Linked DNA regions of Drosophila melanogaster. The protein of the gene in region 3 interacts with the protein of the main gene of each other region in a pairwise test. Each region holds a gene or a part of one and is shown on either strand. Other genes may lie near its edges. The genes, in order: zye, sna, Cep290 and Rbp9.

What was found.
Region 1: the proteins of Cep290 (region 3) and zye interact in a two-hybrid assay, tested with the Drosophila melanogaster proteins (one large-scale study listed by BioGRID).
Region 2: the proteins of Cep290 (region 3) and sna interact in a two-hybrid assay, tested with the Drosophila melanogaster proteins (one large-scale study listed by BioGRID).
Region 4: the proteins of Cep290 (region 3) and Rbp9 interact in a two-hybrid assay, tested with the Drosophila melanogaster proteins (one large-scale study listed by BioGRID).

The regions. Positions count from the first base shown.
Region 1 is NT_037436.4:20,410,974-20,418,021, reverse strand, and holds the start of zye (zye), read right to left. Parts: upstream 4,419-7,048; 5' UTR 4,356-4,418; intron 817-4,355; 5' UTR 791-816; coding exon 749-790; intron 673-748; coding exon 434-672; intron 374-433; coding exon 1-373.
Region 2 is NT_033779.5:15,475,022-15,481,429, forward strand, and holds sna (snail), read right to left. Parts: upstream 3,240-6,408; 5' UTR 3,087-3,239; coding exon 1,914-3,086; 3' UTR 1,572-1,913; downstream 1-1,571. UniProt on the Drosophila melanogaster protein: Essential for the correct specification of ventral-dorsal patterns.
Region 3 is NT_037436.4:841,212-851,307, reverse strand, and holds Cep290 (centrosomal protein 290kDa), read right to left. Parts: upstream 7,383-10,096; 5' UTR 6,943-7,382; coding exon 6,625-6,942; intron 6,568-6,624; coding exon 6,394-6,567; intron 6,341-6,393; coding exon 5,933-6,340; intron 5,868-5,932; coding exon 5,042-5,867; intron 4,983-5,041; coding exon 4,048-4,982; intron 3,990-4,047; coding exon 3,857-3,989; intron 3,795-3,856; coding exon 3,641-3,794; intron 3,584-3,640; coding exon 2,897-3,583; intron 2,833-2,896; coding exon 2,173-2,832; intron 2,120-2,172; coding exon 1,987-2,119; intron 1,929-1,986; coding exon 940-1,928; intron 875-939; coding exon 547-874; intron 484-546; coding exon 292-483; 3' UTR 228-291; downstream 1-227. Other genes in the region: Gr61a (gustatory receptor 61a), read right to left, coding at 7,897-7,977, 8,036-8,288, 8,340-8,494, 8,552-8,674, 8,731-8,897, 8,950-9,144, 9,194-9,385, 9,446-9,590; JMJD5 (jumonji domain containing 5), read left to right, coding at 9,994-10,096. UniProt on the Drosophila melanogaster protein: Essential for ciliogenesis in sensory neurons and spermatocytes.
Region 4 is NT_033779.5:2,951,579-2,958,746, reverse strand, and holds the start of Rbp9 (RNA-binding protein 9), read right to left. Parts: upstream 3,986-7,168; 5' UTR 3,434-3,985; intron 3,368-3,433; 5' UTR 3,240-3,367; intron 1,837-3,239; exon of another isoform or gene 1,483-1,836; intron 1-1,482. Other genes in the region: lilli (lilliputian), read right to left, coding at 6,522-6,658, 6,720-6,870, 6,942-7,107.

The DNA.
Region 1 (7,048 bases), about 20 Mb from region 3:
CGAGTGCTTAACGTTGATGGTGAAAGTAATGTCAGTTCCCAGGGTTAGAGTGCCCTGGATGGGTTTGACATTGGGAGGAGTTCCCGTCCCGATCTCCATCCAGCACTCTACCGGCCCACTCGGTGTATCTACCGATATAACCTCGAGCATGTCCACGACAAATGGTTTGAAATATACAGTCTTCTCACGTTCATCGCCTCGACTACACGATATTTTCCGTGCTATATCGAAGCTATTTTGTATGTCCCTGTCGTCCTGGATGATCAGGATGTTCTCGATTGAGGCGCAAACGGAGCACGAGGGCTTGCTGCCGCATCCATCGTATGGCACTGTGAAAGTGAAACTGCGTCCCGATCTATCGCCCTTCACGTAGCTAAAATTAAAAATGACAGTTAAAGAGGGGACTCAGAGCTAGCTAATGGTATATACCCACTTGCACTTTGGGTCGCTGAAGTACCCCTGGCTGTAGATGACTCCCTCGAAGTCCTCGGAGAACTCAACCTCGACCATCATGCCACTACCTTGGTCGCATTTCACATCGATCTTCTCGATGTGCTTGGCCGACAGAGAAGTGTCGCGCGTTAATCTGGGCGAGGAGTCGTCAAACTCAAGTTCGCCTAAAACGTCATTGAGCGCCTCATCATCACTCAGATCAGTGCCCCGAGTGGTGACCTTGACAGTTATACGAAATAATAATCAGCAATTTAATGGTTTCTAGATGGATATCGATCGGTGTGTATTTACGTACCAAGAGCAAGGCCCACACGAAAATGTGGCCGACGTTGACCATCTTAAATGTAAGTCTTGAGCTTTATTCTGAAAAACAGTCAATTAGAGTGTGTTTAATATATGATAATGGTGTGTACTGGAAGCGGTTTATGATCTTCCGAATCGAAGAGCTTAATTTATTGCCTATCTGGTGGCTAAAAAAAACACATAGTTCACTCAATATTTCTACTCTGAAGTATTTAAAAATATTAACATATTTATTAGTTATCGTTGACCCATAGCTAAGGACTATTATATCTTAAAGGCTGACTCAAAAATTAAATTAAAAATTATTTTCCTCTTTGTCTCAGCAACGAATACAGTAAAAACAAGATAATATTTCTGTTTACAGTTTGTGTAAATTAAGTTTATGACCGATTCGGATACTGCGGCGGTAGTTTAATCACGTAAGTAACCTTCCACCTTCGGGTGACTCACTAGATGAAGATCTGCGGAAAGGGCGCTTTCGATGGGATCAAAAGGGGTCATATATCAAACAGCATGAAGGTGACGAAAAATTAATTCACCGAAAATCCAGACATATATTTGCATAGGTCGGGCTTGTCAAGCGATCTCTAGCGCTGGGTGAGGTAAGATCTTCTTTATCGCTAATTACGGTTGAGTGCAACCTGTCGAGTGTTTACACGAGCTTCGAAGTTCGAACAGCCGGACGGACCTCTTTTGCCCGACGAATGGAGGGTGCTGCACCAGCGCGCCACTAAAACGGGTTTGGTTTTTAAATAATACAACTAACCTTTAAAAGAGAAGAAACAAATGGGAAAGATGCTGCGGATTTCAAAATCCATAAATTCAAGACTCGCGCACGAAGGGAGCAGGGCGGCGAAACAACTAGTGACGAATGCCTATTTGCTTAGCCGCAGTTGATAAAGGCGCTTCGATTTGGGTCTTTTTGGGGCCTTTTGTTTGGCATTGGCTTCTGCAATCTCCTCTTGTTTTTTGCCATCTCGCATTTGATGTTGGGCCCCGGATGATTAGGTGTTTTTTTTTTTTTTTTTTTTTTTTTTTGATTGAGGCCCCTTTTGTCTAGGTTATTCCAAGCATTAAGCTAACGAGGGGCGAATAAGTACCATTTGATTACGGATGACTTGGCGTGTGAAGTCTTCTGTTTTTGTTCTTACGTCACTGGTTAATAGAACCCAATGCTAAGCATTTCTTCTTCCTCATGAATAAATCCTACATTAATCAAAAGTCCCATGGATTAAAAAATATTATTAAGTTTTATCTGTTTTCTTGTTCTCTTGAATATTCTAGTAATTTCCCTTTCATTTGTATAATCTTACTGGTTTCCCCGAAATGGAAACAACTTTTAGCTTGTAAATACAAACGCGTCACATTTGGCAAGAGGTCCAGTAGATTGTGATGAAACACCGCCCATTCATACATCCGATTCATATTCAACACGATTAATATGGTATCTCTTTTGCTCCCAACTTTCCGTTCGCTTAATCTTCAGCGACCCAATTTTTTGGGTTTTTGGAGGTTCGAAAACATTGGCCTGATATCTCAGTTTGCTGTTTTTTTTTTTTTTGGTTTTTGGTTTTTTGCGGTTGGGTTTGATATGACTGCATAATTATGGCCAATTTGATAAAAATTGGTTCACCATGTCAAAAAATTGCTCATTTAATTTTGCCACAGATTTATATTTGCCAGTTATCACGATATTGTTATTTGGCCCCTAAGATTAATAGTCCGGGTCGTTTATTTAATTGCTAAACAAACACATTAATGGCTTGTATGGATTAAAAGACAAACTATAGAATTAGGAGATATATGAGATAGATATATATAGGTACACGATCATCATTCTGTATAATTGGGCAATTATAACTCTGAAAAGCGATTATTGATTTGGGTGTCGAAATGTTAAGTCAGATAGAATGGGTGATCCCGGTTGTCTGCGCAGTTTGCCAGCAATCATATTCAATTGTGTTGGCTAACGATTGAGCGTTAATAAAAACAGCTTGGACATTGATGGCTTCACCCTGAACTTTTGACATTTCAGCGCCTCGCATAGGCGTATATCTTCGTATTAATCACGGCGAACAGGTGATTAGACCGCGGGCCTCACCACCACGTATATGCATATAGCCACATTTGTATATTATGCCAAATGTGTAAACTATACAATCCGAATACGCGAGTGATCTCCTCCAGCGATTGATTTAGCCGACATTCCATGTCTGGGTTCGGGTACTCATAACTTGGATTCAATGCTCTGCGCTGACAAATTGGTGAAATGCGGCTAACTTGCATTGTTGGCTATCAGTTATGGGCAGTTATCTTGTCTCGGCTTATGGCCAATTTTGGATAGGCGCCGATTTGGTAAGATGATCGCTCGTTTCTCAAATAGACATGTTATGAACAATCTAATTTACATTTTTGTGACGCACTTAATTGGGTATTTATGGACACTTTGCATAGATTGCCAAGTGTTGGCCATATTTTCGATCGCCTCACAAGGAGCTGGCTGATTTCAGATTTAATGCATTCTTAATTTAATTCTTATTCAAGGTACTTAACTAAATGAAACACACACAGTTAGCAGATTTGACAAATTAACAACGAACGAATGCAAATGGCATTCAGGCCCCGGATCTGCGAAACTTGTTTCTCGTCTAAATTAATTACAAAGAAATGCAAAAAACGGGCAAACGGACTTACGAAAAGAATGCTTTTCAAGGCTTAAATCAATTGATCTTCTCCGAAACTCATTTTTACAAATATATAAAAAATATACGCAGTTAGAGACCGTGAAATTTTATAAGGTGTATTATTTCGGGTTTAACCTGAATTAGCGTTGTTTATTTTAGCTTTACGATTCTGTCATATTGTAAGTCTTACTGGATTTGGAGAGGATATAATTACTTGCGTCACAGTCATTTACTTTCTACTTTTTTTTAAAACCAAATATCTATATATGTAAGTGAGATAGCCGGCTAAATGTAAATACAAGGTCAAATCTGCGTGGGTCGTAATGGAAAAAGCTAACAATTATTCAAGTTTGGCGACCGCAAAGTTGGTCAATTTCTTATTAAAACTTACCAAATCCTGCATCTTTATTTTTTACTGATTTTAAATGCATGCGAATATGCAATATATAAAATATGCAAAAGCGAATAATACCTTAACTTTGTGGGTCGTAAAACTGAGCAATTTTTTTAATGTTTAAAATTTCCTTAACTTTTTATGGATTTAAAAATAAATGTTGCACTAGTTAATAGTATTTTTTTGGTAATAGTTGGATTTAGATTAGATGTATCCACACATTAAAACTGCTTTTCAAAATATTCCAACTCTAGAGCGGATCATCGAGTAAAAGTTTAGTGAATCCTTCCATACTTATGTATGTACATATGTTCATTTCAGACGAGTTCTTGAGTAACCACTTGGACCATTCACTTAGTTAATTGAATCGATTCACATTTTCTGGCCTTAATTAACGGCCTATGGAGTTGATCACATCAAATCACTGAATGTCTTTTGGTAACATAGTGGAACACTTTGACCATTTAGTCGGCCATCATACGGATATCACCACTGGACCGCTTGGATAAACTTGGACTTACTGCACTGGCTGGTGGACTTGGGCTCGGGAAAAGATCTGGCTGGGATGCAGCTGGCGAAGTGGACGTTGCCGCACTAAGCGCCAAAGAGACTCGTCTTCGTTTATATACACACACGGCGTATGATTTAACAGAAATCGTTTCGGATATTGCCTCAAAAATCCAAAGACGCGGCAAGTAAAATACAACGGCAACAAAAACAGAAACCGAAAATAAAAAAACAAAATACAAAAACGACAAATAATACAACCAATGCTAGTAGCTTAATATATTTGTTGTTGTTTATTTTACGTCGCTCGTGGTTTTATACACGCACACTCCACTAAATCGGGTACTACGATTTATTGGCAGGTTGTGATTATTTATTCGCCGCACTACACGGGTAGCACACAAAACGGATACAGATTAGAATTTATCTAAATAGTACCCGCTTTCAAGTGAACTTCCAAATGTCAGAGGTCAGCTTGCAAAACACCTTATATACTTCAATTTGTTTGTTTCAATTTGTTTGAATTAAACGAGTTATACGATCACGGGTATAATACATATTCGTTTATGGGGGTGTGTCATTTGAAACGTAATTGCGAAGCTGGATTTATAATTATAGCACTTTATTAATTATTATTAAAAAATATCCATGGTCTGTATCATTTTTAGATCATGCTCCACAACTTTATGCATATCTTTGAGGTCCTTTGGAAAGTTTAAGGACTAGATTGATATATATGTTATATTTATAAAATGTGAGATAGGTAAAAATATCAATATAAATATGTTGCAACTAGCTGTTCTTATTAGAAACGTAGGTTAATGATTTTAATTTGGATATTCGGCTCATCTGTGGGCTCAAGGTCGCCGAAATATCTGGAATCTGTATCTCAGGGCATATTGATCAATCTTTTCATGGGCGTTATCGTTGCATCATGTCACTATCATCAATTTAACCCTTTCCGAATTGATTGCTCAGAGTTAGGGCATCCAGTAGCCCGGCGCCTGGAGCCAACTATTTTTTCCATTCATATGGAGTTCGTGGGCAGCGAGACGCGTGAGCACCGTCCACTCGCCGTCTCCCCTAGCCATTTTAGCCATTTGAGTCGCCGTCTTAGCCATCTTGACCCAAGCGCGCGACTGGCACATTTTGTAGCCAGCTGAAAAATGAAAACCAAAAACTAACAACTGAAAACTGAAAACTGAGCTGAAAAACTGCACCTTCGCCGGTGTGCTTTTAGGGCCAAAGAGTCAAAATCCGTCATTGCAACTACCTGTACTACAAGATGTGGGCTCCAAGGGGGCGGGGATACCAAACGGGGTAGTGGGACTTTGGCCATATGGATATGGAGGTGTGCGATGGAGATGTTGTCATGCAACTACAGCCGGCATTGCGGACAGGTTGACGACGAATTCGGAGCCGATGCGATGCCGATGCGCCTGGTCATCCCTAACAGGTATTAGTATTCAAAGTTTTGGAAGCCCAGCGTCCGCTTCGTGATGCTGATAGATTTTCGCAGCCAAATGGCAACGGTCATGGCGAGATGGCGATGGTGGGCTGTCGCCATGGGAAGAATACGGATGGAGACGGATGGTAGGGTAATTCACTTAGCCACCGTCATATGGTTAGGCCGAACCCGAATCCGTATCCATATGCCGGCACGATCTGCATCGCGATGCCAGAGGTGCCTTCGAAGGCGCTTCTGCCTTTGACAAACATCACGTAACCCAGTCTGCCAGTGGATGGTATCTGCTGCTCCCAGAACCGCTACTAATATATTTGATATTATACTATAATAAGTAGGGTAACCATCCCAGAAGGGTCTGTTCTTAAAGAAGGATCTATATCTACAAAGGTTTAGTCATCCAGTCATAATCATAACGTTATCATAGAGATATGAAATATAGTACCGCATTTCTTGAATGTAACCCTATTAATAACTAATTTCCCAACTTAGCTTTATAAGAAACACACTTTGCTGAAAGTTGAATCAATACCCTAAGAGTATTTTCCATTCGACTTCATAGTACTTCTTTACTTAAAAACATTGCATTAAAGTTTCGTTGATTGGGCCTTTCAAGACATAATGAAGTGTTGCGGACTATACTTAAAAACACCAACATATGTTTAATGGAAAACGTAATTTTTGGTCCCCATAAAGGGTGTGACAACCTATCTCTCCCGTGGATCAGCAAAGATCACATATTCTTGCATTCGCTCGGCGGCAGTGACAAAACAAATTCGTGATCAGACATTTCGTTATTACCGGACATTGTTGGCTACGAAGAAATAGGCAAAAGTAAACCTCACTTGTTCTCCAAGTTTTGGTAGTGCAAACACACTTTGTGGCGATTAAAATTAATTTCAGACATAAAATAATAATAATACAACTTATTGGCTGTTTATTTTAAAATTTTATTGCAGGTATGGCAATAGCATTCGCGGTACTCATAATTTCCCTATTTTGCTAATATTCGGAATATTTATCTACAATCAGTTGGCATTAATTTTTAAAGACTTTTAGCTTAAAATATACGATAGTTTTGTAAACGCATTATTCTAATCATCACTAAACGACATTCCACTTATAAATGTCGATCATTTGATTGGCAGGAGCAATAACAATTTGTTTAAAATGGTTACGCTTATTTAGTTTCCGGTTTTGGCTCACAAACACAAGCAAGCTTTCAAACGAAGTTAATTGGCC
Region 2 (6,408 bases), on a different chromosome or scaffold from region 3:
TGGCTCTGGGATCGATTCCCTGCGCGGGATTTGCATTCAGCGAAGCGTAAAGATCGACTGACTTTTGTGGTCTGTGATTTCTTTTGGCTTCCCTTTAAGCGGTGATTAGCCGCAGGACAATGGCAAAAAAGGATGCCGCAGAAACAAAGGGCGGAAGACTTCACAGAAGTCGGTCGCCCAGCTCTCCCAGTAGGTCATTGGGTGAAGGAATCTTGGGCAGACAATCGGGCGACAGGTACTGCGTTCTAGCCATTGTCCACCCGGCAAGGTGTTTTCCTTACAGCTGATGCATTGTGACCAGTTGCATCTGTGCTGCAGTTTTTTGCAATTGCACAAGAAACGCGCTCTGATTACCGTAGAACTGGAATGATTGGTCATTGTCTGCATTGGTTCCTTCTGGGAATGGATTTTTGTGAGCCTTATTTATGACCAAAAGGTGTTGCAACTGCAACATAATGTCGCTAATGCTTGTCCCATTCCGACACACCCGCATTCGATTATTTATGTTTTTAGAGTCACACATTTACGGGACTTCCTTAAATAATAAAAGAATCGTTAAATGTTTATTGGCAAATCTTACAACTACTGAATTGTATCAGTGAACATTTCTGAACTAATATCTATTAGAACATGGCTATTAACAAATTGAATCCAAATACCCACTCACCTTGCCTTGATAACCATACGTGCCTAAGCTAAAATATCCACCCATATCTTGGATTTATTCCTCATACCTGTTCAAACTAAAGTATTATCACCGCGCGGGTCTAATCAAATAGTCAGATAAACCTCGACGGGTTCTCGGTTTAGAGCATGCTTCGGTGGTAATCCAATCCAATCAGGACCTGAACTACCGTCTGCCAGTCAATCAGGAAGGACTCGATAAGCAGCCGTCGCTACGTTTATCACCTGCACTCCACGGTCCTCTGGTGTCCTTTGGTATCCTTTAGGGACTCAGGACGCATGCGCCGCCATCAGTTCGGCAAAATGCTGGAAAAGGATTGCAGAAATGTAAACGTGAAGCGATGTCGGTGTCAGCTAATTAAATATTTGCATTGGCAAAAGGTGCAAAACGCCGAGCGATATGGATTGAAATTGATGGAATGCTATTAATGGGGGCGGGTTAGAAGGAAGTCCCCGAAAAGGAAAGTGTATGACAAATCGGTTCCCTGTTTGCACATGCCAAAGGTGTTTTCTCCGAGAATTCGATATTGCTATTGTTGTGATTTCTGTTTTTCGAGAGGGTTGGCGGAAATTGTCACAAAATATGAACAGGGGCAGACCCCAAAATGCGGATGTTTGGTTTCCTGTTAATTATTGTACATTTTGAAGGCACATAGAAACTGTAGAAGGAAAGATTACATTTTTTTAATGCGTTTCGATGAATGCTGTTACTACCTAAAATGTTTTCTATAACTTTTGGTTACAAATTTTTAAATTTTTTTATTCACATCTGTCTGTATTTGAGCCCAAATATTAGTGATAGAATTTAAATTGAATATTTCTATACAGTTTCCTTCTGTGAGAATTTCTTTCAAAATTGTTAAAAATAATAAAGACCATATAAATTTCTTTTCGTGAGTTTTATTTTATAAAAATATTTAATTCTTCTCTTTAAGCTAGGAATAATCTTAACAACAGTTGGCTTAACAGTACTGAGAATACATAAATAAGGGTATATTATAATTAAATGAATAGATTTGGTAAAATGCTGCGTGTGACAATGAGGCAATATACATGAACTTAAACTTAGAATACTATAGCTGAAATAAATATAGTAATAGTAGCACCAAAACCGAATCGACTTAGTACAAACTTATAATAGGTATTGTCTGTTTGTTTGGTCTTCGCCAGCGGAATGTGAGTTTGCTTAGGTAATTGTGTCCTGCTAAGGGATTCATATGTCGAGAATCCTACGCAATAGTGATGGTGCAGTTGGAGCTGGAGTGCTTGTTCAGGAGCGACATCCTGGAGAAAGATTTGTGGCACACCTGGCAGGCGTACTTCTTGACGTCCACGTGGGTCTGCTGATGAGCTCGCAGGTTCGAGCGGTCGGCAAAGGATCGTGGGCAGTCGGGGCACTGGAAAGGCTTCTCTCCAGTGTGGGTGCGGATGTGTCCCTGGAGCAGCCAGGGTCGAGAGAAGGCCTTGCCGCAAATGGGGCACTTGCAGGGCAGAGTGTGGGTGCGGATGTGCATCTTCAGGGCTCCAATGGTGGTGTACAGCTTTCCACACTCCTCGCAGGAGTGGGTCTTCTTCTCCTGATTACACTCGGCTGCCGGGCAGTGGAACTGACGGTGCTTGGACAGGCCCATCGAGGTGGAGTACATCTTCTGGCACTCGTCGCACTTGAAGCGGTAGTTTTTGGCATGATTGGCGGCAACACTCGCCGACGAGGCACTCATGGCCGGAGTGTAGGAGTATCCCGATGAGCTGCTTACACTGGCACCGCTGCTGCTGGACTTGGCCTCATCGAAAAGGTGGAACAGAGCCGGCAGTGGGATGTCATTTCGCACTGAAAGATCCTCTGGCTCGGAACCGGTTTCCAGATCGGATCCGGGGCTGGAGGGCGGCGTCATCTGCTGGTAGCTGTAGACCGACTGGGGCGAGGCCATCGAGCTGGCTGGCGAGGGGAAGGCGGCCAGATGGGGCTGATAGCTGCTCCACAGGGCAGAGATCGGATTGCAACCGGCGGCCATCACAAAGGCGGACTGGAAGGGATTAATCGTGGTGGGGGTGGCGGTGGTATATCCCGTTGTTCCTGCCGTTAGTCCACGCATATGGATTTCGGTGGGCAGGTAATCCTGGGCCTCCACTGGCGGCGACAGCAGGCAGGAGTTGGAGCTAGAGCTGGAGTTCCTTTCCGGTGTTTTTGAAAGGTTCAGCACATAGTCACGTTTCGGTTCCGGCTGCTGATAATCCTGGGTCTCCTCGTCGCGACCCCGTTTCAGGGATAGATCCTGCGGCTGATCCTGGGCAAACTGTGAGTCCTTGGTCAGGGCCAAGGCCTCCGTTTGTGGCAGACGCTCCTCCACGAAGACAATGGGGCGCTTCTTTAGCGGGCAGCTTTTGTAGTTGGCGGCCATTTTTGATGTGTGTGTGATTAAGTTTTAGTTTCCGGTACTGATCGAGATGGGTAAATCGGGAGATCGGCGATCGAGAGGCGAGTTATATAGTTCGGGATCGAGTATAGAGCGGTGGTTGCGTTCTCAACGAGAGCTGAGGTGGCTGTGACAGGTCAACAGTCGAGCACGCTCTTTTATACCCGGAACTCTGCGCCTCTGCCGACGCCGCTGTCGCCATTTGGTGGTGGTTCTTCTTCAAAACAGAAAAACACTCGCACGTGTGCGTCGCTACCTAGCAACAACAACAGCACTTTTCCCATACCCTTATTGCGTATTTCCCTCACTTCCCTCTACCTGCTCTCTCACTCTCTCTCTCTCTCTCTTCCTCCATTTCCCACCTCTCTCTCGGAAGAGCAGACGCAGGCGCACCCTCCCAGGAATAAGGATCCCCCGTATAAGTTATGACAGATCTGGTGGCTCTCCAATTTCCCGATACGCTCACAACCCACCCGTAATAACTCGTGCAGGTCCGGGTCCGAAATGCAAGTTACAATATCGCCTCCCTACCTATGGATCACCCTAAGTAATTTTCTATTTTTAAGCACGAGTCAAATAGGACTCCTAGTACTCTTCGTTCATGGGGTGGTTTCCTCACTTAGATTGAGTGCTTCAAGTACATCTGCCGATGCTCTAAATTCGGTTTTTGGTGGGGAGTTGAACCTGAGCGATACGCACTGACAAAAATGACACCTTCGCAGAGAGGTGTTCCAAAAATAGCACTGATAATGAGCCGAATTCCGAGACACCAAGTGTCAACTCTGGGGTGCACTCTACGCTGACTTATGGATCATCTCCAGTGGCTCATTGGCAGCGATCGATGAGAGCTAGGAAAACATAGCTCAGGGCATAGGAGATGTCATTAAAAACTTGACAAGGAATAGACGAAGAGTGTCAAGTCTCCTGTGAGCTTGGATCGAAGAGATCTCCTGTTCCCACGATTGGTCCGTGAAAGAATGACGATTCGAATACGAGTTACACATTTTAACTAATCCCATGGTCATCTTATTAGTATGTGAAGTTCTGCTGTCTTAAAATCAATTCGATTGATAACGTAAAAAAAATCATACTGCCCCTCAGCATCCAGCTGAGTCCTGGACGATTCCCACAATTCTCGCTTTCCAACTCCCCTGATCTTTGACTCCTTGCCTCATCGCGCACACACAACTTTCCCAGCTAGCACCTCCAGACTTTCAAGCCACCCCTCCAACTATCGATGGGAAACTTTCCCAACTCCCACTCCCGCATGGAGGCTGACATGCAGACTTTGTACCCGGAAAAACAGACAAGCCCGCATAGCCAAGTCCGATTTTCCGCGTCGTCAAAAAAAAAAAACCAGGCGCGGTGGTAAAATTGGAAAAAATCCATAGCAAACCCAAAAGTTTTGATAAACCCAAGAGGTGACAAAAAATTCCAGCGCGGAATTCCAATTCCCCGCGATCCTGCAACCAATGGCGTGAGGGAAGATGGGAAATGTCGAGCCAATAACCCAGCCGCATTTCCATTTCGTATTTCCCTGCAATGGATTTTCCTTCGACGAATGTCCGGATGTGGATCAGCGAAGGATTTAAAGTAATTTCCCATCTTATCCAATTACGCAGTCAGCGAAACTCAAGCAAAACAAGCCACGACGAGTGGAAAAACTGGCTGGGGGTTTTCTATATGTCCTCACATCCTACCTGGTGGGTCATCCCGGATATCTCGGTTATTACGTGTGTTATTCCGCGCAATGATCGCCATGTCACATCCATGCACATATCTACCTAATGATCACTACGATGAAGTCCTCGGCCGCGGAATTGCCCGATGAGCACCGCGGATAACCCGGCCAAGTCCTCATTGATGTCGCGGGAAAATCCGCACTTGTCGAACCCATATATCCGTTGAAGTACCTGACTTGCAAAAATTCCTGGTCGGGTTGGCCCGCTCATTAGTATTAGGTAGATTGGCGGCCAGTGTTTTCCGCTTCATTCATTACTTCATTATTTTGGGGAAAACCCTTTCGGGGGTTAAATACTTTTTCCCCGACTCGCTCGGGATTTCTGCAGGTGCTGGGATGAAGTTCGATTTTCCATAGACATTGTTGTTGTTCTTGTCAATTTTTGCTGAGAATAGGACCGTCCCATTTTTGCACCTTGTTCCCTGGCTCATTTGTTCAAGTTGACAATGAAGAGGGAACACAGGGATCTACAGAGCTCGACTGACATTGTTCGAAGAGGAGCCATGCGAAATAGTAAATCCGAGTCACAAAACAGAACTAGGTCGACAACCAGTGCAAAAAGGAGACATTATGAACGATGATCGAAATGTATTTTAAGAACAACACATTGAACTTTGTAATTTTATTCATAATTAATGTTACGGAGCTTGTAAAAAATGTTTTTCGTTTTGTTCTTCTTATTAAATATTCGCATAAAACACTCAGAAAAATCATATCACATTTTCGCCCAAGGATAACTGTAACTGTTTTTTCAGCTTCCTAGACTGTGTTTCTCTAACCAAAACCCCCACTCCTTCACAGGCCATCACAGCCTAACAGTATATCCAGGTCACCTGGCCTGGTGAACCTTTTGCAAAAACGAAGATATAAAGAGGAGAGAGAAAAAGAAAGGAACGAACATTAGGGATACCACCAAGGAAAACAAACTATGGCCCAAGATATACGATGTGTGATGTCGTTGACAATGAATTGTTGATTACTATACTACCCCCAGGTCAGGCTCTCCTTTTTTTGGCACGGAACAAAGGAGCTGCGATCCATAAATCGAAGATCGGAGAAGCAGGGAAAATCACTGCCACGGGCTGTATGTGTGTGCATGTGGACCGGGTGCATTGCACAATCAATAGGTAGGTTCGCGGCACAATGGCCAAATACAGTGGAGTAAATGTTTTGAAAAGCCAGCGAAAGGAATTGCTTCTCGGAATCCTTCGGCGGGGCCGGCGTATCAATGTCCTTTAGCCAGAAGAAATCAAAAAGTTGGATCACCTGGCCGTATCTGTCGGCGTTTATGTGCGGGTGCGGGTTCCATCGCTACCTGTGGCCCATTGTTCGCTGCAAATAGTGAATGACCCCCGACCCCGACCCTGGCGGGTCTGAAAATCTAAACGGACCCCAAAAACCATCCCAGCAGCAAGCTCTATTGTCGCAAGTCCTGCACTTGTGGCAGCTGCCTTGACTTCCAGTTCGATTCCCCCTTGGCTTCCCTTCTTCTTTGAGGTTCGACGCAGGTTTCGCGCCTATTCACGGTTCGTTATCCTGTCAATTCAGTGCCGACATTACAGATCC
Region 3 (10,096 bases):
ATAAGCGATAGTTGGTGAACTGTTCACTGTGACTGGCAAATGGCTTAGTGTTTTCTTAATCTGGCAAAAGATACATTATTTCATGGTTTAAATATCCTATTAAATAAATTTAAATATCCTGTAAAACAAAATTCGGGGGAATCCCGTAACTTTCACATCCCCAACGATTTTAGCCCACCTCGATCTGGCAACTCTGCATTGGGCGCCAAATTCAAAACAGCAGCAGTGAAAAAAACTTTAGTTTTATTCCTCTTTTTTCCTGTACAACATTCATCTTATGATCAATACTGGTTACTCGCTGATTTCATCGATCACGGGCACATTTTGCAGTTCGGAGCACTTGCGTTTCCACAAGGCCAGCTGTTCCCTCAGGACTTTTTCCTTGGCGGCAGCACGGGTCAGAAGTACTTTTGCCTTCTGCAGCAGCTGCGTCTTTTTCACCAACTGCTCCTTGATGAACTTGAGCTCCTCGTTGGCAGCGTCCTTTTTTTTTTAAATTTCAAACACAATTATTGCCGAAGGTGTATTATTACGAGCGGTACCTACCTTGCTGCGTCCCCCGCATTGGCTGCACTTGGTGGTTCGCTTCTGCAACTCCTGCTGCAGAGCACTGATTTTCTCCAGCGCCTCTGCATGCTGCTGCTGCAGACGTGCCGCCTCTGCAGGCGTGGAGTCCATGGAGCTGCGCGACTCCGTGGATCGTCGACCATCCTTCAGGAACTTGTTCTCCGATCGCAACTTCTCCACGAGATTGCGCAGCGAGAGGATCGTCTGCTCCGCCGATTGGCCCTGATTTGTGCTCACCTTGAGGCCACTGCCCAACTCTCGACGGGATTCGTTGCGAGCCATCTCCTCCTTCAGGGCCATGATGTAGCTGAAAAATGGGGGTGGTGCATAAGTCTCGATTCACACGCGTGGAAACTGCCGCTCTCTACTCACTCCTCCAAGTGCTTGATTCGCTTCTGCAGCCGATCGCTGCTGTCGCCCTGCCTCAAGAGATCCGAGTCGAGCTGCAGCTGAAGGTTCCTGGCCTCCAGTCGGATGTTCTGCGCCTCGATGGCCTGGCAGCGCTCTTGCAATTTTTCCAGCTCCGTGGTCAGGGCATTGCTGCCCCTGCCCTCCAGTTCCATGGCGATGATCTTGCGCTGCTGCAGCTCAATGCGCGACTTGAGCGCCTCAATAAGGTCCAACTGACTCTGGTCAAAGATCTGGGTGTGATGATGCGCCGGAGAGCTGCACTCGCTGCTGGGACCCGTGTAGGTCTCCGGACTCTCCGAAGGCGATGGAGCGAACTTGCTGACACCCACGTGCTGGAGATTCGGACAGGATGGAGTGCGGCAGCACTTGAGGTTATTGCCACCGGAGCTGTTGCTCGGCGGACCGTTCCTGCCCAGCTTGGACTCCAGGATTTGCTTGTCCTTTTCCAAGCGCGCTATTGTGGTGCGCGCTGCCTGGAGAAGGGCACGGGTCTTCTCCAGCGCCAGCTCGGTCTCCTCCAGCCGGGCCTTGGTCTTCTCCGCCTGCTGTTGGTACCGCTTCTGCTTCTCCCAGAGCTGCACCTCATTGGCACTCCTCGTGCGCTTGGCCTCCAGGAGCGTCTGCTGTCGCTGCAGCTGGCCACGTGCCTCGTCCAAGTCCAATTCCAGCTGCTGGATTCTCTTCAGCTGGTTCTCGTTCTTAACCCGGGCATTCAGTTCCGTTTTAATGGAGACCACAGGGCGTTTGAGTAGCTGCTGGCGCAGCGACTGGCTGAGATCCCTGGCCTGCTTTTCGCGCTGGGTGACGTTGGCCAGCTGGCGGCGAAGTGCCTCCATTTGGGTGTGATAGATCTTGTTGGTGGCCTCGGTGCGGTTGAGATCGGCAGCCAGCTTGGCTATCTGGTCCTCCGAGAAGTTCGAGGTGTCTTTGATGTAGCGCTGCTGGTCGTCCTGCATGTTTAAAACTTTTAATAGTAGAGATGAATATGATGGTATTGCTGGGCATTACGTGGAAGTTCTTGAGTGTATCCATCAGATCCTTGATGTGCTTGTCCTTCTCATCCAGAAAGATGCGTAGCTGATCCAGTTCGGGATTCACGGTGCTTTCGACCGACTTCTCCCGCTCCTGGCACAGCTTCAACCTGTCGAATGTAACGGATTAAGATCATGCACAACTACTTACTTTACAACTTACTTCTCCTTTAGTATATCCACTTCCTCTTCCCTCGTCTTGAGGCTCCTTTCGCTGTACTCCAGCTTGTCCTTGAGATCCTTGATTTGCTTGTGCAGCGTCGGCACTTCCTTCAGCTCCTCGGTGTCCTGCTTCTCCTCCTCACCTTCGGGCTCTTCGGTAACTATGTTCTCTGGACCTGCTTCCACTGGCACTTCCAACTCTTCTTGGGGTGGTCTCTCCACTGAGCTGCTTTCGAAGAGCTCCTCGATCTTCTCATCCGTCAGCTCGTTGACCGAGCTATCGGAACTGGAACTGGACCTCGAATCCGTCGACGGGTTGCGCTCCACGGGGACCTCGGGTTTCTGTCTCAGCTTCTCCTTAAGGCCCTGAATCTCTGCATCCTTCGTCTTGATGTTGAAGTTCAGGTTGTTAACCGTGGCCCTCAGGGATTCGTTTTCAGCCACCTGTTTGCTAAGTGCTTGCTGACTCTGATCCCTCTCGGTTTGCAGAAGGTCCTGGTACTTTTGTATGGACTGGTCCTTCTCCAGGAGCAGGGTGTGGAACGAGAGTATGGTCTTCTCCACCACACCACCTTGCGGACTGGCGGACTCGCGACTCTCCGATCTGGAAGCCTCCAACTGCTTGCCAAGGATCTCGATGCGCTGGTTGGCTTCCTGCAGACTGTTGGGCATCACCATTTATAGTTGCAAATAGTTATTTACATTTTTTACTTGGGGGAACTTACGTTTCTTGCATTTTTTGTAGCTCCGCGCGGGAATCTCTCCTATTGTCCTCCACTGCATCCGCTGTCTGAACGGCTTGATTCTGCTGGCTGAGAATGCCATTGGTTTGGACTGCCGTCTCCGAGAACTCAACTTGCGCCTCCAGCGTTTGAGTGGCTGTATCCAGGTGCGGATGTTTTCGGAGAGGCGACCCAATGGGCGATGACTCCCTGTCTATCAACTGGACGGCCCTTCTCATGGCCAGATTAGGAGCCACTGCATCGGTATTCGTCTCTGCATCCACCTTGAGTTGACTTCTTGGCTCTCCTTCACCGAACAAGGCCTGGATGGTGCTCCAGTGCTCGGTGTCGGTGGCCTGGCTCATCCTCAACTCACCCAATTCCCGAACGAGCTCCTCCTGTTTGGCCTGCAGAATCTCGCAGCGCTGTTCCAAGAGTCTCGTCTGTGTTTCAGACTTTATGAGCTTCACCAACTGCTGGGAACTCTCCTCGTTGAGACCAATTTTGGCCTGGACCACGGCGGTCACTTCATCAATCAGAGCGGTGTGATCTCTATGTCGCTGCTGCACTTGCTCCTCCTCCAGGCGACGCTGGAACTTTTGGTAGGCGAACACAAAGTTGGTAAGGAAGACCAGTGGCGTGAATTTGGCATATTTATCTTTGAGCATAAACAATGAATGCTGGAGGAATCTGTGGGATTTGGTAGAAAGTCAGATCTGCTAGGGATTATCCACCACTTGGTCTCACTTGTGCTTAATATCGCTATTGGTGCGCTCCTGCTGGAAGTCCTGTTGCGTCTGTTTCAGGGATAACTCGCTGGCCTCCAGTTGGGTTTGCAGGCAGTCCGCCTTTAGCTGCAGTTTTTCTCGCTCTGTTTCCAAGCGGGAGCACTCGGCTTTCACTAAAAAAAAAAAGAGAGACATGCTGGCTACTGATCTTCTCCTCGAATAAGTCTGTGCTTACCACTATCCAGATCCCTCTGGACCTTGGCCAGCATTAGCTTCTCGTCGGAGCTGCTCTGAAGATCGGCCACCAGGTGACGCAGATTGATGTGGTTATCGGTGATCTCATTGAGCAGCCTTTGCTGGGAGTGAATCTGGAAAGAGGATGGGCATTAGATCTCCCATGGGTAGGTATCAAGGAGAATCTCCAACCTGCTCATTGGCCACATGGAGCAGTCCTTCCAGCTGCTTGGTCTCCCTCTGCAGCTCCGCCTGCTTGCTCCTCCAAGTGAGCAGCTCCTGTTGCTGCTCCTCGAAGTCCTGGGCTGTGATGTAATCCAGCTGATAGTTCTCCCTGATTATACCGTACTCAGCGCATATTTCCGTGGGCTTCAGCTCGCCCAGCAGTTGCTCCATCGCCTGGCCAAGTTGCATGCTCAAGATGGCATTCCTGTGCTCCAACTTTTGCTGCTCCTCCGCAGTGTAGAGATTCCTTCGATTCACTTGCTCCAACTCCTCTCTAGCTTCACATAGTTCACTCTTGCTATGCTCCAACTGCCTGGCTAGAGACGCCTTATCATCTATGAAGCGAAGTTCCTGCTTTCTGGTCTCCGTCAGCAGTTGATCGTAATCCCTGCGCATGTAGGAGTAGGAATTCCTTTGCTGCTCCAACTGCAACTCCAAAGCGATCATTTGATCGTGGAGCTCTTGGTTGCGATTCATCAGATCACTGCCATCGGCGGACATATGAAGACGAAGTTCGTCGTAGTGCTTGCGCAGAATGGAGAGCTCAGCCAGGGCCTCGTTCGTGGGTTTCTCCTCGGGATCTGGTACAGTGGGTCTGCGTAATCCCATCGTGGCTTCAGTGGGCGAGCTTGGCCTGGTGGCTGTGTTCAGCACAGCATCCTCCTCGACAGGATGCTCTTCTGCAATCTCGGGAACCTCGCACAGACTATGCACAGAGGACAGTTCTCCCGTCTCGGAGTCACTGTAGTTCTGCTGCTCGAGCAGCTGACGCAGTGCCTCCTCTCGGGCCTTCAGCTCTAGGAGCTGACCCTGGAGTCGCTGCGGAGTGGTCGTTCCGCCGGGCAGAGCTTCGATGAGGCGGCGCAAGAGATCGGAATCGATGGTTATGTGCTCTGAGGTGGCTACATGGATAATGTTTAATACATATAGTTATTCAAGAAATATGTTATGGTTATCTCACCATCATATTCCCGCAGCTTCTCCAGAATCTCGTACATGCCGGAGCGTAGTGTTTCATTTTCGGCCAGGACTTCGTCGTATCGATTCTGCATCTCGGAACTGGCTGCCCCGTCGCCTTGGCCACGTCTCGGCGAATTCTCCAGATGCACACTATGAGGCACTTCACCCACTTCGCTGGGCGCCTGCAGCGATTCGTTCAAGGTCTGCGGACTGTCCTGCTGCAACTCCAAGAGCTTCCGCCTAAGTTCACTCTTTTCCAACTTCAATTGCAGACGCAGCTCCTCGGATGTCCTCAGCTTGAGGGTCAGTCGCTCGATCTGCTTGTCCTTGTTGCGCTGCTTGGAATGGACGTTCTTGGCCATGATGACCACATCGTCGGGGATGTGAAGTTTTCGCCGCAGCAGCTCGTTCTCCTGGACCACCTCGTGCAGGGAGTTCAGCTCCTGGATGTAGGCCCTCAGCTGCTTGTCGCGTGCTGCCACCTTCTGTTCCAATCCCGAGCAGCGTCGCAGAGCGGGAATGAGGCCATCTTCGTCACGCTTGTAGGCCTCCAGGGCACTAATGGCGTGCAGGGCCTGCTGGGACTTGAGCACGTTGTCCTGCTCGGCGGCCTCCAGCATCTCCGAGAGCTGCTGACACCGGGCGGTGGCTTCCCGCAGGCGCTCCTCGATCATCTGGCAGCAGGCTCGCGGCTGCTCGGGATCGTGGGCTCGCTCCTTCTCCTGACACAACTGGTTCATCGCACGCGTGGAGCTAACCATCTCCTCCGCCATTGACTTGATCTTCTCCTCCAGCTTCTCGATGCGTTGTTCCCGGGATTCCAAAAGCTACGAGGGATGAACATTTAGCGAGCTCAAGATCTAGATAAAATATATCGGCAGTTCATCCTTACCTGTCGTAGTTTGGCGTGCTCCTCCTCCTGCTGACTCTGACTGTTGGAAGAATTGGTTTGGCCAGAGCTGATGCTTTTGCCCTCCAGTTGTTTCTTGAGACGCTCCACCTCCTTGTCCCGATCGTCGAGCGCCTGCCTCCAGCCCAGCGACTTGGCCTCGTATTTGTCCAGGAACTGACGCATTTCCACCTCCTGCTTCTCGCGCTCCACCTCCAGGAAAGTTAGATTTCCTTCCAGGCGAGTGATTTCCAGCGCCTGCTGCTGCTCCTTTTGTTTCAAGGACTTGCGCTCCTGCTCCACCTTGGTGATGTCCTGGCTCAATTGCACGAGATTCGCCTTGATGGTCTGCAGCTCCCGCTCGTGGAGCACTATGGTCTTCGATTGAGCTATGTTTTGGTTTTGCAGTGTCTGAAAGGGAATGAATATAGTATATTCTGAATGCAAAACATAATATGACTCACCTCGATTTCCTTTAGCAGCCGCTTGATGTGCTTGTTCTTGGAGTCGATGTTCTGCAGCAGCTGCTCCTGCTTGTCCAGCTCGGACAGGGGATCCGATGAATCCTTGTCGCTGATTTCCGCCTGCTGCGCCGCCTCCTGCAGGCGCAGCTCCAACTGACGGATTTCCTCCCCCAACTAGTGAGAAAAAAGCGTATCCTTGAGCTTGGGTACTTTACATGATCTACTGCTCACCTCCTTGGCTTTGCTCTTCAGGCCATCGCGTTCGTCCTCCAACTTCTGGAGCATTCGCTTCAGCTTCTCATTCTCATCCTGCAGGCGGCGGTCGGAGGAGAGTCCTCCGGCTGCTGATTCCTGCAGCTGCTGTACCTGCTCGCCCTTGTACTCCAAAACGGCCAGGGTGAGTTCCAGGGTTTTCCTCAGCGACTTCTTAGGCAGCTCATCGATGGACTCGGCCAGTTCGAGGAGCGTTTCGTAGAGCTCCTGCTTCTGGCGCGCCGAAAAGTCGCGGAACTTGCGCAGGGATACGGTCTCTGGTATGTCCATGCTCATCCTGGTGGCTCATGGCCTCGCTCCTCGGCGGTTACTCACGTTCTGCGTCCAAATATTCCCCGATTTTCCACACCAGCTCTCCAGTTTTTCCGGTTGCCATGACACTTGGCCCAAAACAAACTACGACTGAAAACCCATTCGGGGGTTGCTTTTCCGGAAACGAGGGTGCCGGCGCGCTCCTTTCAAGTGACCAACCTGCAGGACCTTTGTTTTTGCTGGCGTTCTGTTTTGCTAGCTGCTTCGGCTGCGTAGAAAGTTTCCTGACAGGATAATTGCCTCAACGGCGGCTATAGCGGCAAGGATCGGCGGTGGGAGCAGCCGGTGGCCCACCACAAACAAAAATGGCAATCGGTAACCAGGAAAGTGTTAATTGGCAAAGTGTCAAAGGCCGAGTTTTGAAATTGAAAAGCCATTTCTGTTCGAAGCGACTTTTCCGCCGCCTTCTCGTGTTTCTGTTAACTTTTCTTACACTCGAAAAAAAAATGGTATTTAGTTCAGAGCACACCAAGTGGCTTTTGAAAGGGTTTAGAAGTAAGCAGTAAAGATAAGATTATTATTATTTAGAACTTTAGCTTCCGAACATATTTTTCAGTGCACTCCAACTCCTTTCTCCTTTCAAAACTCATCGAGTTGCCTTCAAAATTACGTTTGCCTACATGTGTAGCAATAATTGAAACTAATGGCAAGCGACTTTGGTTGCCCTCCCATTTGTGGATTCGCCCTCGCTGAATGACAGCTGGCCAAAAATTGAAATTGAAATGACACTCGGAATGGCCAATTATCCTGGAAGCCTTTTGGCCATTTAATAACCGCCCGAGTCGGGTTGGCTGAACTCACACATGAGCTGCTAACTGACTTTTCCTCGCAGGAATCTACCCTTTTTCAAATCTGATTATCTGACTATTTTATTATACATTCAGTTAAGTTAAACTGGACTAAAGTTCACTCATTTAGTTACGCGCACCGCAGTCCCTTGTGGCTCTTAGCATCTATTTGCAGCAGCATAAGTTCGTAGGTCACCAGGGTGGCTAGCATCTGGAGAGGATGGCTGGGATCAGTATGGGAATCGTGAAGACTCGTGAAGTTTACCCACTCCGAAGAGACTCTTTCTTGTCAAGCAGAAGAGACGATATCCAGACAATCCGACAAACTCGCTGGTCAGCTGGTCGGCAAATCTCTGCACCTCCTGCGTCCAGCCATCGCTGGGCACCAAGTACAAGGACCTCAGGGGCAGAAGCGAGGCATCGTGGATCTTGGAGGCAGTCATGAAAACCAGACTCGTCCTGGCCAGCAGGAAGATCAGCGAGTACCAGAAGTAAACGTAGTTTATGGGATGCCGCAGTTTGCTAAAAAGATTTGAAATGAGACTAGGGGGTAGCTACAAACAGATGACTCACGTGAAAATAGCCAACGCCTGGTTGCAGATCACATACACATTGTTAGCGCAGGATACGAACACTATATTCGACATGCTGGCCTCCACCAAACTGGCCAGCTCGCAAAGGCGAATGTGATCCCTCCGAATGTCGTACCACAAGGCTTCGGGAACATGCTAAATGGGATGGGGATTTAAAAGAGAAATACATTGAAATAGTTTGGATTATTTTACACGACCCTCCAGTGCGCCAACTCGAGCGGCAAACTGTTGAAACCTTTGCGCCAGTCCAATACTGGTCATCACAATAAAGATGTCCATGAAGTTCCACAGAAAGGTGAAGGCTCCATTTAGCCACTAAAAAAGAGAGCATTATTCAAACTAACTAACTAAAATATATATAGTTAACTTACAAATCCATAGCACATGGAAAATATATTGAATGGCATGATGAACATGATGTCGGAGAACTCCTTCTCCAAATAAAGTCCAAAGGTAATACGCGAGTGGTTTGTGTGGCACTGCAGGATGTGCATGCTATAGCTGCAGTAGCCAGAGGCGTAGTACAGCATGTGGTCGCCTGAAAGAAAGTTCTTCTGGAAACCATTGAAAGGATAACCCAGAAATCTCACCTACTGCCAGGACGACCACACTCAGAGCAAGGACGTTGACCTTTGACCGAAGGCTTCGCTTGCCACGTTTGTAGGGCGGAAAGAGCATCAGAATGTCCACCGAACTCCAGGGCAGCATTATGTGCGACCAGGAGCGAGCAAAGCCCACGAAGTTTAGCCAGTTGACCATGCCCACGATAAGGAAAACCAAACCCACTATTGAGCTTTCAGTTGGGATCACACTACCATACCATCTAAAACTCACCGATATTCTTGGCATTCAGACCCTCTGTGAAGAGAATATTGGCACCGACCAAGGTCTTCATGCCACCGAGCAAAAGGAAGAGACCGGTGACTGCCAGGCCAATGCTCCTTACCTTGAACTTCACATCCTGGGGATCGCGACTCCGGATATTCGACAAAGGCATAATGCCGAAGAACTGCGCCACACACAGATCTATTGTCCATTGTAATATGTTTAGACACATATGAAAGTGGTTTGGAAAAGTGGTCTTACATGGCCTGATGGCTCCGTAGAAGGTGTCCAGCTGCTCGAACTCCAATCCTCCCTGGGCACAGCGCCATCTCATGGCCAAAATGGCCCTCTGCTTCTGGCGCCGCACTTTCAGGTGCTTCCGGATGTCATCCGAAGTCCTCGACATGCTCCTCAGCTCTGACCGTCAGCAATTCCACTATCCGGGTTCTTGTCTCATGATTGTTGTTTACAAGCTGCAGCTTAGTCTAAAACCCGTAATTAGTGGCACTTGGGGCACACAATGCCATTCGGCGTCCAAAACGGCGGTCATAACTCCGCCCATGGAAATCGTTTTTCCATTTCGTGCCAGTGCAAAATGTATCTTCACCATGGAAGGACCCACGGAGCTACTATTTATAATTTACTAAAGGCATCCTTAAGCAATACATGTTTGAAGTACTGAACAACTCATCAATTTTTAAATATATTTTAAAACATCGATTAATCGAAATATTTAATGCTTACAAATGAACTCTGGCAACGCTGAATGTAAGCTAAAAGGTAAACAAATAATAGTTGTTTAACATTCTATGGATAGTGAGTTCCTGGAGCTGACGCAGCTGCTGCCCCGCTGGGTGGATCTGGAAAATGTGGTCCGTGGTGAAGTCGAGGCGCGCTACATACTCAAAAGAG
Region 4 (7,168 bases), on a different chromosome or scaffold from region 3:
TTACGAATGCATTTCTGGTTCCAAAGACAGCTGCGCATAATCGGGGAAATCTGTTTTGCAAAGCAGTTGCTCAAATAAGCCGCCTTCCGGTCATGGTAAGTGCGTTTGTCCTATCTACTATTTAATAATTAACCGTAAACTAATGTGTACATTAATATGTTAATTAAAAAACTGTACCATATATTAGACCTCATAGACTGCATCAATATAGAATCAGTTTTTTTACACTCTTTAAGAATATCTGACACTCCTTTAAATTTCTTAAACTTTTTGGTAGCTCCTGAAGTCCTTTTCTGTTTTCAGTCAACCGAAGGAAGCTTCCTCTTTCCTCCTCTTTCGATTCACGCCCCCAAAATAAGGGGGCGCAACCATTAATTTTCATTCATAAATAGTTGGAAATTGTTTCCGGCTAATTGATGGATTTGATGGCACATACCTATGCAGACACACACACACACACGCACTCACACTTACGAATACTGGAAGAATGGGGAAGAAGTGTTCAAAGGGCAGGAACAAAACAAAAAAGTGACACACCTTGGCAAAGGCAAAGGCAGCGGATGAAAGGAGAGACAGAGAGAGAGAGCGAGCGAAGGAGTTCTGGACAAGTAACGGGTCAGCAAAGTAGAGGAACTTATAAGGACGGCGGCTGAGGCCGTATGCATTTGATTTGGGTGCGGCAAAAATAAACAGGATATATGGGCGGAGAGATAGAGCGGGAGAGACAGTGAGAGCGCAGGCTGCAGCGAAAGCGCAGCAGTCAGCTGAGCGCGCCACAAGATATGCAATGGCTATTGAGCGCCACAGAGAGAGAATGGGAGCCAGAGAGCGAGCTTAACTGCAAGCTGGCGTCGTCGTCGACGGCAACTGCGCTGCCTAAGCAGGGCCGTCTCGAAGGGGTCCCTCCGAGATCAGGGGCTCCAATAATCTCTCAGAAATCCTACTACGGAAATTAAAGAATTTCTTTTAAAATAAATAAATCCGATAATTGCACTAGAAAATTTCAAGTCTTGTAACAAGTTCTCGAACTTCTACCATTTGAAAATCTACATCTAATCAAGGGAACTTTGTGCCACATTTGTACGAACTAGCTTTAAGGAAACTTTTATATGGAAAACAGGTCAATAAATCATTATTTTTGGGGATCGACTCCCTCTGAAGAAACCGCTCCTGTGCGGCGTTTTTTAGGTTAAATGGCGGCTGCAGGCAGCGAAATGAAAACTGCGATGCCGGCGCTGCACGAAACGCAGCTGCATGGACTTCTGTGTGCTTGTGTGTGTGTGTAGGCGGCAAATATATATCAGAGTGTAGAGAAATTGAGATTTCGCCGACTGCAAGCCGCCCCATTGAGCTCCGTTTTACTATTCGCACACATACGAATGCAGGCGAAAAATCGACTTTGGGTGTGGGCACTTTTGCAAATAAAATGGTGTAACTGTAACTGTAACTACATATCCGTAGCATTCTTCTCTGTTCGCTTACATTTATTCGCCAGCGCCGCAAAGCATACAACACCGATTTTCCCAACTCGACTCGAAAGAAAATGGTTCTGGAACTGGGACTGGAAAATGTTCTTCGTTGCAAATGATGTAGTTTCAATTTGAAAACTGAATTGAGCACGCACACACTAAGGGTTTTCGAACTGATTTCGATACTGATTCGGATTCCACACTACGTGCAATTGGACACACGTACATGTATATGTGTATGTGGGCGTAGTTGCGTGAGTATGCAAGATGTGTGTATTTTGATACCGATATACAACAATTCAGAAACGACGACAATACGACGAGAATCAAAAAACACAACTTGCTGCCGGAGAGTGCAAGAACTAAATGATTAAAGTGTTCGATTGCCGCCAGGATAACTGCAGCCAGGACCCGTGACAGCGCTGCCGCGCCGCAGTCCGCGGCCCCAGCGGCAGAGCTCCTCCTCTCCTCCAATTGGCGTACAGTTGAGCACGGCCCTGCAGAGGGCGGGAGGGGGGCGGTGGCGAATGCACAGCATAACTGCGTAGTTTTGCTCTCGCATGCACAGTGGGACAAATTCAAACATTGAGCGCGAACTTTAACCCTTCTACTTTCTTGTGTTGCAAATATAGATAATAATATTAGACTGACCTGACATATGCTAAATATGTATTGTTATATCCAAAATGTTGTTCTATTTTATTTGAAATAATGGATTTCGGTCCCAACTAAACTCAAAAGACAACCTATGCAACAATTTGTAAATGTATAGAAATAAGTAAATGCACCTGACACGTTTCAGGATAAGCTTAAATGCCATTGCACATCAGTGAGATGCAGAAGTGCTGTTTTATTTTCAATATACAGCTTGGGCACAGTTGCACCATTGTACCATGCGAGAAGTAACGGTCGCGAAGAAGAAGGCAAATAATAAAAAGCTGCAGCCGCAAGTTGCGCAGCCTGCAACAGCTCCGGCAACATAACGGTACTCGTTCGCTCGCTCTCTCTTTCTCCTGGCTCGGCACTTAACCGATGTACCCTACATTTGGCTTCGCAAAACATAAACAAGGAAATGCAGCCGTGAACACGAAACGAATTGCGGTAGGTTCTCCGTTCGGCAAAGAGCGAGCTCCAAAAGAGGCGAAGAGAGCCGGGGCTCGTAAGCCGGCCGCATTGCTGTTGTTGGAGCTGAGAGAGCCAGCACGGCACCCAAACAAACACTTAAGCAACAACAACAACGGCTGCTGACTGAAGGGAAGGTGCCAGAGGGGCTTTAAACCCAAGAGCGCAAGCTAGAAAGAGCATCAGAGAGAGAGAGAGCAAGGCAGGAGCGTAGGACGAGCTCAACTTGACATCATCATCATTTGTGTCAAAAGACCATTGAACTTTGCGAGCGGATGGAACAGAACAGCTCCACCCCCATCCCGCTGCCTACAAGTATGCAACAATACCTCGCTCTCCTTATTTATATGCGGTTTGTTTTGTTGCTGCTTGCACACCATCACAATAACAGCAACCCACATGCATGCACTCACTTTGCATAGGTGTTGGGGCCCAATGCATCTCAAAATGTTGCGCTTTTAACCCTTACCTAACTGATCAGACATGTAAGGCCCTTTCATGAAAATGTCCTGTGTTTGGGAAATCGGGAAAATCCCCACGATGTAGTTATAAATGACATACTATAGATTTGTGTACAATAAGTGGCTGTGTTAAATCTTCTTTAGCGAATAGGTTTTTATGTAATTCATTCTTGTTGCCTTACCTTACTTGTGATGGATAATGGTCGTGTTCCATTGATGTTCAATAATATAACGCCCATTGCAGGATTCCTGAATAGGGTTCAGATATGGGTTCCTGGCACTACGGCCTTGAGCTGAAGATGAATGTTCTTGCCTCTGCGGATGTGCATATAAAATTCGGTTAATTTAATTATTTAAATGAATAATTGATTTTCAGCTTACTGGTGCTTCCCACTGCGACTGATTCTGACGTGAGCCGCCAGAGTTCCAGCTTTGGTTGTCATAAAAGCCCCTAGATTGGTTGGGATAAAGCCAAGATAGCGGTGGTTGTGGTAGATCCCCTTTATTGGGCTTCCTGTTGTTGTTCCACGCTAAGGAAGGCTGCTTGATCTTGTTGCCGTGCTTCTCCTCGATGTTCGGGGACACATTCTCGCATTTAACTTGAACCTTGTACCACGAGGCGTCTGTATGCTTACGTTTGATGGTCATATCCTCCTCGCTGGTGGAGTCATACACGTGGCCCTTGATGGGTCTCTTTCTCTGACAATTGTTGACTTTCTCTGGCTCTGGTCCTCCTGTTAATACCCCTGGAATTTGCGGATGTGCCTTACGTCGTTGGCGCTGATATTGCCTTCTCTTGTTGCGAGTGTACCTGGGGATCTCACCCACAAAATCGCTTTGATTTTGCATTCCTTATGATGAAGTTGTAAACGATGAATTCGAAGAATCGACACCACGCTGTCGAAAGCACAGCAAGTAACACGTTGAGTTGCTAACACTGACAGACTACTTTGGCGACTTACCAGCACTGATCGATTAATCATGCAAAAAGTTTTTCTCGTATTGATCGAAACTTCCTTTCGTCATGAGCATTATCAAGATAAGAAATCGTTTTAATTGCATTCGGCTTCAAGTGTTCCCCTAAGGAACAGGAGTTAAGAATTTCCAGCTTTTGTTTGAAACAGATGGACATGAATTTATAACCTTGCCTGGTCACACTGAATTTTTAAAGCATCTCCTTCCGTTATTACAACCATCCATAGTGTTAAAAAAAAGCAAGACACAAAAGGCAGTTATGTAAATGTTACAATTTTTGATGTTTTATTCGTTCGATTTATCAACTACTGTTACGGTAATTGCATATTAAATTGGTTGTTGTTCTGTTGTTGCTTAAACTTTAATAAGTGTACTTGGTTTTAGCTGCGGCTGAATTTAATTATATTTGTACAAAATATATATTTACTTTTAGCTTTGTCAATGAACAACATGTTTTGCATTCATTTTGGTTTTCTACTCGCTTTCCACGTTCCAAAGTCCAGCTTAAAACTTAATTCTGTTGGTTTTGCTGTTCGATCTGTCGGTTCGGTTTTGTTTTTGTTTTTGTTTGGTTTTCTTTTGTTTCGTTTCACTACAATAACGCTTAACAAAATAGAATTATTAACTATTACTAGGCGCGTTTCGTTTGTTTTTGTTGTTGTTGTGGTTGTTGTTGTTGTTCTTGTCGGTTGCTTATTGCTGCACGTTAATCTTGTCACTTCGAAAAAATTTAACTATGATTTCTACGTTGTTTAGTTTAATTCATCGTGTATATATATAAAAATATATATATATTATATATCTTTATATATACCAATATATAGTTATTTATAGTTAGGCATGTAATTATGCTTACTTTAATTATATGCATGTTTGTGTCCGTGTCTTCCCGCCTACGTAATTGTATTATTTACATCGTTTTAATAATTAACAATACATATGTATGCATGTGTACCAATTTATAATAATTACACTTATGTAGTTGCACTGCACAATAAAGTTGCGCAAATTCTCCATCGGCATTCGGCACTCGTCATTTTAGTGATAACTTAAAATTTGTCTACAATTTAAATGTTTGTTTTCGGTTTCATTTGTCGAATGCGAGCGAATGCCTTGTTTCCCCAGAACCATTACTAATATTAATTTAATATTCTTTCTTACTTTGTTTTGCTTTCCGTTTTGTTTTTCGTTACATTTTTGCTTTGATTTTCGTAGTTTCGATTTCGTACATGCCAAAATAAAAGTCAACAAGAAAATGCTGGCTGCTCAACTCGGTCAATATATGAATGTATTCCAGAATCCTACCATCCTACCATCGTACCATCCTATCCCAATCCCCACTCATTTTCAAATTCTGCTGATTGAAGTTGGCTTAAAGTAGTTTACAGCGCTCACTTTTTGGCATTTAAAAATATATTTCTTGTATACTGGCGGCTATATGTACAGCTTATATAACTATTTCGAGGGCAAGTCTATTTCGATTGATTTTTAACTCGTTTAAGTCTACTAATGCACTATTAGTTGTTGCGTCTGTGTGAGAGTTTTGAGGCACCCATTATGAATTTATGAATTATGTTGGGAATAGACTGTGGATGAGGTGGTTTTATGGATGGGTTGAAAGAAATAAAACCAAAAGAGAAATACAATTGCGTGTATATATTTGAAATATATATTAATATAAATATATATTGTTTTCATTCATGTATTTTGTTCTAAAAACGTGTTGTGATTGCTTTTTAAAAATTAATTTAAAATTAATAAAATAGTTGCGTTAAACATAATTCATATAGAAATATTATAAAGAATTTATAACTATAACTTTTCTTTATATATGCCATAATATGTATAATTATATTTGCTAACATTTTTCTTTACCAAGGCTGCAAAGTAAAATTAACTAAAACTTAAACAATTTAAAAAGCCGTTCATCTTCCTTACTGTACGCATACGAAAACAAAATTCAACTAAAATGTTTATGTTTTTGGGTAACAGGAAAAGGGGGTAGGGTGGGCGGGGGGGGGGGGGGGTGGGCTGGTTGGGTTTTCGTTTTTGAGCTTACAGACTAGACGTAGAGCTAATATAACTTTTAATGTGTGTTTTTGTTTTTCTTTGTGGTAATATCAATTAAAACTAGGCATAAATATAAAGCTTAACATGCTTAAACAATCGAAAATTGAGCATAAGGAAATAAGTAAATGGTGTGCATATACAATTACATACATATATAAATTATAAAGTATTAACAAATCAAATTTTTGTGTTGTTTTTGTTGTGGTTATAATCGTTCTGTTGGAAGGTTGTTGGTTTCGATTTCATTTCATTCGTTACTCCTCCTCCTCATCTTGACTAACTAAATTAGTAGCTTGTAGTAGATAATAGTTGCTAATTTGGCCTGACTTTCATTTAGACACGTTTGGTGGTGCTTCCGTCTCCGCCTTCGCCTCCGCCTCCGCCAACGCTTCCGTTGCGTTTGCGGTTGATATTGCCGCTGTCGCTACTGCGACTGATGCGTCGGATGCGACACGGCATCCCTGAGCGTCTTGAGACCCGCCTGCACGTACCGGAACACCTCGTGCATGGTGCTATGCAGCGTCAGCGGGCCGTTCTCGTGATCCAGTTCTCGGATGAAATCTAATGGATTCAGACATTGATCATTAATATATATCATTAGGCGGACGCCTAAACAACTCACCTATATGATTGCCTGTGCGCACCAATCGATCGGCTTGATCCCACAACTCGTGAGCGCTATTTAGATAGCTCAGAAACTCATTCTGCTTGCACAGCATATTGTGTATATCTGGAGGCACTATTCTGCCTGGCGGCGTATTCGAACCGGAGCCCTGAAAACAGAGAAAAGCCGCAATGAATAAACGAAATCCGCACATGAGTAGCTGCCAACTGAGAGACTCACCTGCGAGCCCACCGAGTTCGATGGTGATATGGAGGACGGCGTGTTGCCGTTGGCAATGTCCCCCCTGCCAACGCGAAAGAAATCTGTTAGACTGTTGATAATGGCCCGACAATCCTTTCTTCTCAGCTTATAAAGCTTTAATGATATCAACGACTGGCAGCGCAAACTGCTCGACGAGATTGGGGAAAAATGAAAAGTGTCATTAGCAAGTGTACTTCGACTTGAGT